2 linked regions of the Mus musculus genome follow. The protein of the gene in region 1 interacts with the protein of each later gene in a biochemical or structural test. Links are inferred from orthologs where the notes say so. Each region holds a gene or a part of one and is shown in the gene's direction. Other genes may lie near its edges.

Region 1 (4,321 bases):
CTGCCCTCCAGCCATCAGCCTGAGCAGCCCTGAGAGGCTTGGCTCAATAAGGCCTTTGTGGACCAAAGGAGTCCTCGAATGCCCACGGTCTCAGGAGCAGAAGTGATGGAAGGAAACAGTCCTGTTTTGGGTATCTGAACTTCAAGAGATCACTGTGTGTACCAAGCTTCTCAGATACGTGGTCAAGGCGTGAAAATACTTGCAGGGAGATAGGGCCAACGGACACACTCCTTCAGACAAGTCAGTACCTTCTGCTATGTTTTTTTTTTTTTTAAGTTAGCATATGCTGTTCCGTGTCTCCATGGTAACGGGACAGGGACTCTTTCTTCTATTTATGGAGTTCCTCCTTGACCTGGGTTCTCTGGTCTGGACCTGAATACACACTGAGAAGCCATGAGGAAATATCAATTCCCTCTGGACCTAGCTGTTTTAGCTTAGTGGATTAGGCCTTGACTCCTGCAAAGGTGATACACTGGAGAGAAGTATCAGGTGTAATAGTATCTTGATTGGCAATAATTTCAGATGGGGAGTTGCCATGGAAACCAGGAACCCTGCGGTACCAGAGAAGCTGGGGTCTTCCACTCCCTTCCCGGCAAGGCTGTCCTTGTAATGTACCAATCGTCAGTCCCGTGGCCTTGCCTGAGCTTGCCATTTGCAATTTCATATGCCATCTCTGGTAACAACCTAAACTTGAGAAGGAACGAAATAATATTCAACGTACACCTGTGCCTACGGATGAATCCCACAGGTTTCCAACCATGGACTCAACGCCTTCTGACCAAAAAGGAAACCACTCTTTGGCTTGTGTTTTGACCATGAGTTTGGGAGAGTCACGCTGGACTTGACATGTAGTTGACCTCGTAGACCATGTTAAGTAGAACACAGTAGTAGCCTTGAAGGATTTACTAAGACTAATAATAGATGGCGCCTAAGTGCTCGGCCAAGTCGGCGCTGAGACTCGGCTCAGCCCTAGGGGGCGCCATCCGCACCGAGGCAGTAGGAGGGGCCTCTCCAGAGGCAAGCGGCTGCGCCACGTTCTGCTCTTCCACTCGCGACTCCGCCACCCGCCCACTTTGCGACTCCCTAACCCCACGTATGAGTCTTTCACGACGAAGGACCAGAAATCAGGACCCACACGTAGCTCCAAGCACAGGGCAGGCTCCACCGCAGAAGCCTAACCACCCAACCCAAGTGCCAACAGGGCCCCCAGCTCGGACCTGCAGACAGCCTAACGCGGGCGGATACGGCCCTGCCTTTCTAGCTGGACCTCCTGGGCATAACGCCCGAACCGGGCTCCAGGAGCAGGGGCCAGCAGGCAGGCGACAGCGAGCTGCAGGGTCGCAGAGAAGGGCCCGGGAGCAGCGTGGATCCGCCGCTGCCAGAGCGCGCTCTCCTCCCACGCCGGCCTCGCGCTCGCTCCTCCTCCGCGCTCTCTCCGTCACCCCTGCTGTCCCCTCCCCCGGTTCCCTCCGGCCCTCCCCCAGCTCCAGAAGAGCGCGCGGCTAGGAGATCGGGCTGGTTACTTCCTTCACCGCGGCGTTGAGCACAGAGTGGACACCACTGAGGCCCGTCAGTCCCCGCCACCTTCCCCGGCCCCGCGCGCCCGGATCGGCCCTACGGCCTCGTCTCGCCCGGCCTTGCGCGCCGGGACCGCCGCGATCTCCTCTCCCCGCCGCCCTCCGGCTGGCCCTGCCTGCTGCGGCGCGGTAAGAGCGGCCCCTGTGCGCGATGGTCCTCAGCAGAGACTCCGCCCGGGGTGGGGTGTAGTGCGGGCGGCCCCTGATCCCGCCGGGCCATCGCGCGCCCCAGAGCCGCTCCGGCTGGTTCCTAGGCACCCAGTGGCCTCGGAGGGGGACCCAGGCATCGGGCAGGGCGCGGGCAGACCGCTTTTGTTTTGGGGAAGCCAGTGGTCGCCCCGTGCGGTTCCTGCCCGGGGTGCGCGACTGCGTTTCTCGAGAGGGCTTGAGGCACCTGGAGAGGTGGCCGAGGTAGCCCCAGGTTCGGGGTGACTTGAGTTGGGGAGGCGCTAGGCCTGGAAGGATGTGGGGGTGTCCGGATCATGGAACACCTGGGAAGTTGCGGCTCCCGGGAACGTGTCACCTGCTTGGCCAGGTCTGGGCTCCCCTGGGCCCTGGGAAGCCAGTACGGGATACGGTCCAAGTAGGGGTGCTGGTGGCTGCTCTGCTTTTATTTTCTCCTTAAAGCATATGAATGAAGGGGTAACCTGAAGCGTTTGCGTATTTGACTTTTTTTTTTTTCTAATTTACTATTTAATCTCATAAGACTTGTACTAGCCTGCACTCAATTTCAGGGGAGCCTAAAATAGTAGTTGACTCGCTACTTATTTAGAAAGTAAAGCGGTGAGCAGTCCTGGTTGGAGAGAGGAGTCATTTAATTCGCCAGTTGAGAGACTTGCTCCCGCTGTGGAAGCTCCTGTCGGTATCTGCCTGCCTACACCACCGCCAATCCGGAGATACATCTCAGTGTTAAGCTTTTATTAAAATCTGAGTAATCTCGCAGTGCAGTTAATGTGAACACCGTGCATCCCACAGGGAAATAGCCAAACTCTCATATATGGAATTAGTCATTCATTTCTCTAAACTGATTGCTAAGCAAAAGGCAAACCAACCTTCAAAGGGTTTTGTCCTTTTATTTTATTTTTTTAACCTAAATTTATCTAAATACAAACTCATGCTCTCTTATATAAGTGATTACCTGTTCCACTAAGGATACAGTTATCCATGAAATTCTTGTTTAAAAACCTAACTATTCCCAGTTACTACATTTCTGCCATTTTCTCCCATTTCTTGTTACTATTTTTTTTTTTTTTTTTAGCCCATCACCAGTACCAAAAAGTCTAAACTTGAAATTGATTTATCTAGAGTCTTGACTTGTCCCAGGGGTTAGCAAGCACATCCAGTCGGATAAATGAACTTAAATTTGATTAGCCGTGGGTCTGCCTGAAGCCATTTAGTGGAGGGCTTTAATTCTACATTCTTTTTTTTTTTTTTTTTTTTTTACAAAACTCATTAAAAGCCAGGCAACAAAGGAACCCTGTTCTGCAGCCGGTAATTACAGCATTTATGTGGGAGTGGGAGCCTCCCTTTTCTGCTCCTGTTTGTACACAAAAGGCAGGGGAGCTCTTCCCCAACCTCTGAAGCTATTCTCTGCCCATCTCAGAAGCGAAAAATCACAGAGAAGTCCTCGAGTGTCTGTACACTGGGGCAACAGAAAGCACTGTCCGACAGGCCCTGGAGGAACCACGTGGACACCTCTGCCTCTGCTGCTGGTTTTCTGCGGGAGGCTTGTGTTTAGTCAACAGGTTACAGGCTACAGGGCTGACTCCATCCAAGTAGGCGACATGAAGTTCTCAGTTGGCGAGTGTTTCACAGGACTGAAGTGTGACAGAAAGGCCTGGTTTGCTCATATTTGTGTGCTCTCTGCTTCAGTGGGGTGGGGTAGGGAGAGCCCACTCAGGCATGGTCAGGATTTAAGGCCCTACTGATCTGAGGCGTAATCTCCACAGACACCCCCAAAGGAGTGTGTAGTCTAGGCCGGTGACTCAGTTGTCACCGGTCCTCAGTTGCCTCAGAATAAAGTGATTTTACATTTGGAACCTGGACTCTCAGGAGGATTGTGAGGAAGTGGGACTTGAGTCTTCACATTGGGAGCTAGGCATGCTGTCCTGGTGGTCTTCGTCTGTGAGGAATATTGAACCCACAGTAGGTATAGCTGGGATAATATACCAAGGGAGAACCTGAAGAAATGTCCCCGCTCTGGAGACTGCACAGTCCCTGCTGTGACATCACCAGGATGGTGGCTCCTTCAAGGCCCCTCAGCTTTTCTGGGCTGCTTTAACCCTGATCTGCATGTCTGGGCTCCCAGCAGCCTTCCCTTAAGGCCTCTTTCTGCTCTGTGGCCTTTTATCAAGGTGTGAGTGTGTGCACGTGTACACTCACACATGTCGGTGTGTGCATGCGAGTATGCATTCACTAGGAAATTGTTAAGCCATCTGTCATTGGCCCACAATGTTGACTATAAAAAGAACACAAGACAGAGGGATCAAAGCAAGTTAAATAATTCTTTGAGACTATGCTATCTGCTGCCTCTAGTGAGTTCTATCAGTTGCCTGCTAATTTTAGTGACTGTGTGTGGTTAGCAGGTGGGTGCCCATGAAGGAGAGCAAGGGGGTGGTGGTGGTGGCTGGGGGTTGGACACTCTACACAATGGAGCTATCGAAGGCTCCCGTTCTGTAGCTTGGAGCCTGGAGGACGGAGAGCTGCCGTCCAGTGATGGTGATCTCTGGTGTGTGGAAATGAGG
Region 2 (3,815 bases), on another chromosome or scaffold:
GGTTTAGTTTAATGTTGTTAACAGTTTCAGTTAATCATTTACATGTGAGGTTTTGATGGTTACATATTTTTAGTGATTTTTTTAAACATTGAAAATAAATGGTGAGGTATTGAGTTTACCACCCTCACATTCATTATTCTTATCTTTAAAAAAGTCTAGTGTAGTCCAGTTTTAGACCAATCAGACATGCATTTGTGGTACCATACTGCTGTGTATGGTGTGGACTTTGCTAATAAGACATTTTCCTAACGTGGCTGTAGATTTCATGCTATATGAGTTCTCAGAGAGATTCTCTGTGTCTGTCCATAACCTTCCTCTACAATTAGTGACAGCTCTTAAGTTTGCATGCTACTATCTTTTCATTAATTATCAACTCATTAACAGAATTTTCTGTTAACGTTGTCTGCCAAATAGTATGAATCATTCTTGAAATAATAAACCATTGTGTGAAATCCCTTTAGCCCTGTATTATCCAATATGAGCAAAATTGTGATAGAGACCAAGATTATCTTGTTTGTATTTTGAAAGGCCTACAGTACGCAGCCTTTCTCCAGGACAGCAGCCCCAAACAAGGTGAACTAATTTTGCATTATGTTATATTACTTTAATTCTGCTGTTTTGTTTTGTTTTTTGTTTTTGTTTTTGTTTTGTTTTGTTTTGCTTTGCTTTGTTTTGGTTTGGTTTTGGTTTTGGTTTTGGTTTTTAAATAGAGCTCTTGCTTGTTTAGATCAACTCAGTTAGTTCTTTCTAGATGTATGTATGAAGAGAGTACTATCTTATACTGCTTCCAGTTTTGAACTCTGTATTAGACTTGCTCTTTAACAACATTCTTGTTCTGAAGTGGAATTTTACACAGGCTGCTAAATAGGCTGTTCCCAGAGCATCTGATGGCATCTGGTGGCATCTAATAGAAATGTAACCTCAGCTTATTGACATATGGTACTGATGGGTGGCAGCCTCATGATTTCAATGATTTCTGTTTACTAAAGATAAACTGGAGGCAGCTTGGCCTGTGGTCCATATGACTCATTTTTGCATCAGAAAATTTTAATGGATTTGGAATCCAGTTACTTTTGTGCTTGACTTTTGTATGTTTTGTGTATTATAAATAGCCTTCGCCATGATTAAAATAACAAGCATTGTCATCATATGGATATATGATGAAGTTAGTAGTATCCATTTTAAAAGCATAACCAAGCCAGGCATGGAAACATGCCTGTAATCCTAGCACTAGAGAGTCAAATCTATGACTCCAGGCCAGCCTATTCTACACAGAGAGTTCCAGTCCTGTTAGTGAGACCCTGTCTTTAAAAACAAGAAAACCAAGAAAAAAATAAAAAATAAAATTAATTAAATTTAAAAGTTTCTGCACTTTGCTTCATTTAACAAATGATTGTATCCCTGCAATTATTTTTAAAAGTATAGAGTTAAAAGTGTAGAGTTAGGCAACCCAACATTGACTGACCCATTTCAGTGTCTGTTTAAGAAGTAGGTAAAAAGCATGGCATGGGGTGAAAAGACTATGGTGGGGAGTGAAGTAGAAAAGCCGGAACTGTGCTCTTCCTCCTTTTTAACATCGTGGGATCTACCATTGGACCCATCATAGGAAGGTGAATTCAAGTAAAAACATTAAATTATGAAGGTTGATAGTTTTTATTATTAAGTCAATATAACCATTAATCTCTTTAAGATATTTTCAAACAACTATAAGAATTAAATACTTTGTTTTAAGCTTTGAATAAATTCTTTAATTAAAAAATAGAATCTTGAAACCTATTTTTATTATATTACAGTTTTTAAACATGAAAATGAGTTAGGTACACACACAATGTGTATATGAGACGTCTATCTGAAATACGTACACCAGTGACTAATTTTCTTTGAGCTAAGTACTATATACATGTTTTTTGTGGTGTCCCAGAATCAGACATGGTAGTGTAGATTTTTTTTTTTCTGAGTTTTTCTAAGATTAGAGTTTGATACAGCCTCAGTGAGGAACCAAAAAGTGTTTCTCTTTTTCTTTATTGTTCTGGTCAGTGAAGACCATCAATTTCTTAATAAAATATAAGTACGGAAAGTTTATATTCCTAGAGAATAGACTATTCTGCTCTGGTCATGACTCTGGGTGTGGGTTAGAAGGCATATGTTTTTAACATAACTGACTCTATGCTCTTTGTGAGTGACTGGTGGCATTCACATGTGGCCCAAGTAGTCAATGTGTATTGATTGCTAGTTTGAACCACATTTGCTGGGATAATATTATTATCTGAGAAAATGAGGAAGCCACTCATCCTTGGAAAGAATACAGATATATATACAAATAATTGGTAGCTGAACCCAACTGTGGAATGTCAGGATTCCCAGCAGAAATAGCCTTGGTGGTGTTAGCCTCTGTTTTCCCCTTTGTTCATTTGGGTTTCATTTTACACTGACAAAAAAGGACAAGATTAACCTTTACTCTGACGTGTGATTTTAGGAAAAGGGAGGAGCAACATTTATAAAGAATGAATTCTCAGCTAAGAGCAAATCCAACAGTCCTTCTGTTGCCTACCTCACAGCTCAGACCTGTTAAGGAGTGCTAGGACTAGACACACCAAGAATCGAGCCTTCTTCCTCTTGTCTTATATGGTAATCAATCTCTTTTAGATGGTGTGACTAAACCTTTAGTTTTACATTTTCAGTTTATTTTTCTAAATTTAACAGATCCTGAACATGGTGACCTGTCAGGACATGGGCATTTTGATTAGTTGTTATTTTCAGTTAAGTATCGAATACAGTGGCTGAGATACAAGCATAGTGAGTGTCACCACTCGTGGCTGCACCTGTCCCCACAGCGTGTCAACATTCATTTTGTAATCTGTAAAAAGAAGGACAAAACACAGGTTTGTTTGTTGGAAATATAAAGCCCCTGGTTGATGTGAGGCACTCAGCTTATAATAGACATTATTCCTTAGATCCTAGTTTCAAATAAAGATAATGTTAGACCTGGGATTGGCTCTGGACATAATTCACTTTGGAGTTGTTTGCTATCAGATCACCATAAGGTATTTCTGAGTATTGATACAACATAGGAGAGAATCAAATTTTAAAGTAAATTTCTAGGTATTTTCTCTCTTGTTTTAACACATTAAATGTCTTAAAAAATGTTTATAATGCCTAACTTGTGATGGACTTTAGTTTCAATTTTGTTCTTAGTTATTGAAGATATTGACAAAATGTCATACAAAATTATTTTGTATTTTTTGTAGGACTGGGAAACAGAAACTCATGACTGGTATTGTTTTGAATGCCATTTGCCTGGAGAGGTGTTGATATGTGACCTGTGTTTTCGTGTGTATCATTCCAAGTGTTTGTCTGATGAGTTCAGGCTTAGAGACAGCAGTAGTCACTGGCAGTGCCCAGTTTGCAGGGTGAGTACCTATGAGCTTTCCTGTGCTGGTCAGAGGGTTGGAATCAATGAATGTTAGTGTCACCGAGGTGCCCCAGATGGTATTGCCAGGTGAATGATGAATCCTGGAGGGTGGGGGTTACTTGGTGAAATGACTGACAAATGAACACAACACTCATAAACGGGCATCGCAGACACACCCCATGTTTCAGGATGCACATTTTAGAGAATTTTAATCACATAGAGATAGCTTCTCTTCACATATTTTACACCTATTTCTAGATCATGTGACTGCTTTAAAGGCTAGCCTTTCAGAACATGAACTGTTTGCCACATGGAGGTCTGTTCAATAGTGGTTCTATAATGCCTGGCAGAGTTGATGCTACCGAGCACTTCTCAGCAAAAGGCCCAGTGTTGGAGTGCACTT

Evidence for each region.
Region 2: the proteins of Ets2 (region 1) and Zmynd11 form a complex in vitro, tested with the Homo sapiens proteins (2 studies listed by BioGRID). The link is inferred for Mus musculus from reciprocal best matches to the Homo sapiens genes ETS2 and ZMYND11.

What each region holds. Positions count from the first base shown.
Region 1 is NC_000082.6:95,700,939-95,705,259, forward strand, and holds the start of Ets2 (protein C-ets-2), read left to right. Parts: upstream 1-1,468; 5' UTR 1,469-1,706; intron 1,707-4,321. UniProt on the Homo sapiens protein: Transcription factor activating transcription. Binds specifically the DNA GGAA/T core motif (Ets-binding site or EBS) in gene promoters and stimulates transcription.
Region 2 is NC_000079.6:9,709,741-9,713,555, reverse strand, and holds part of Zmynd11 (zinc finger MYND domain-containing protein 11), read left to right. Parts: intron 1-528; coding exon of another isoform or gene 529-573; intron 574-3,248; coding exon 3,249-3,410; intron 3,411-3,815. UniProt on the Homo sapiens protein: Chromatin reader that specifically recognizes and binds histone H3.3 trimethylated at 'Lys-36' (H3.3K36me3) and regulates RNA polymerase II elongation. Does not bind other histone H3 subtypes (H3.1 or H3.2).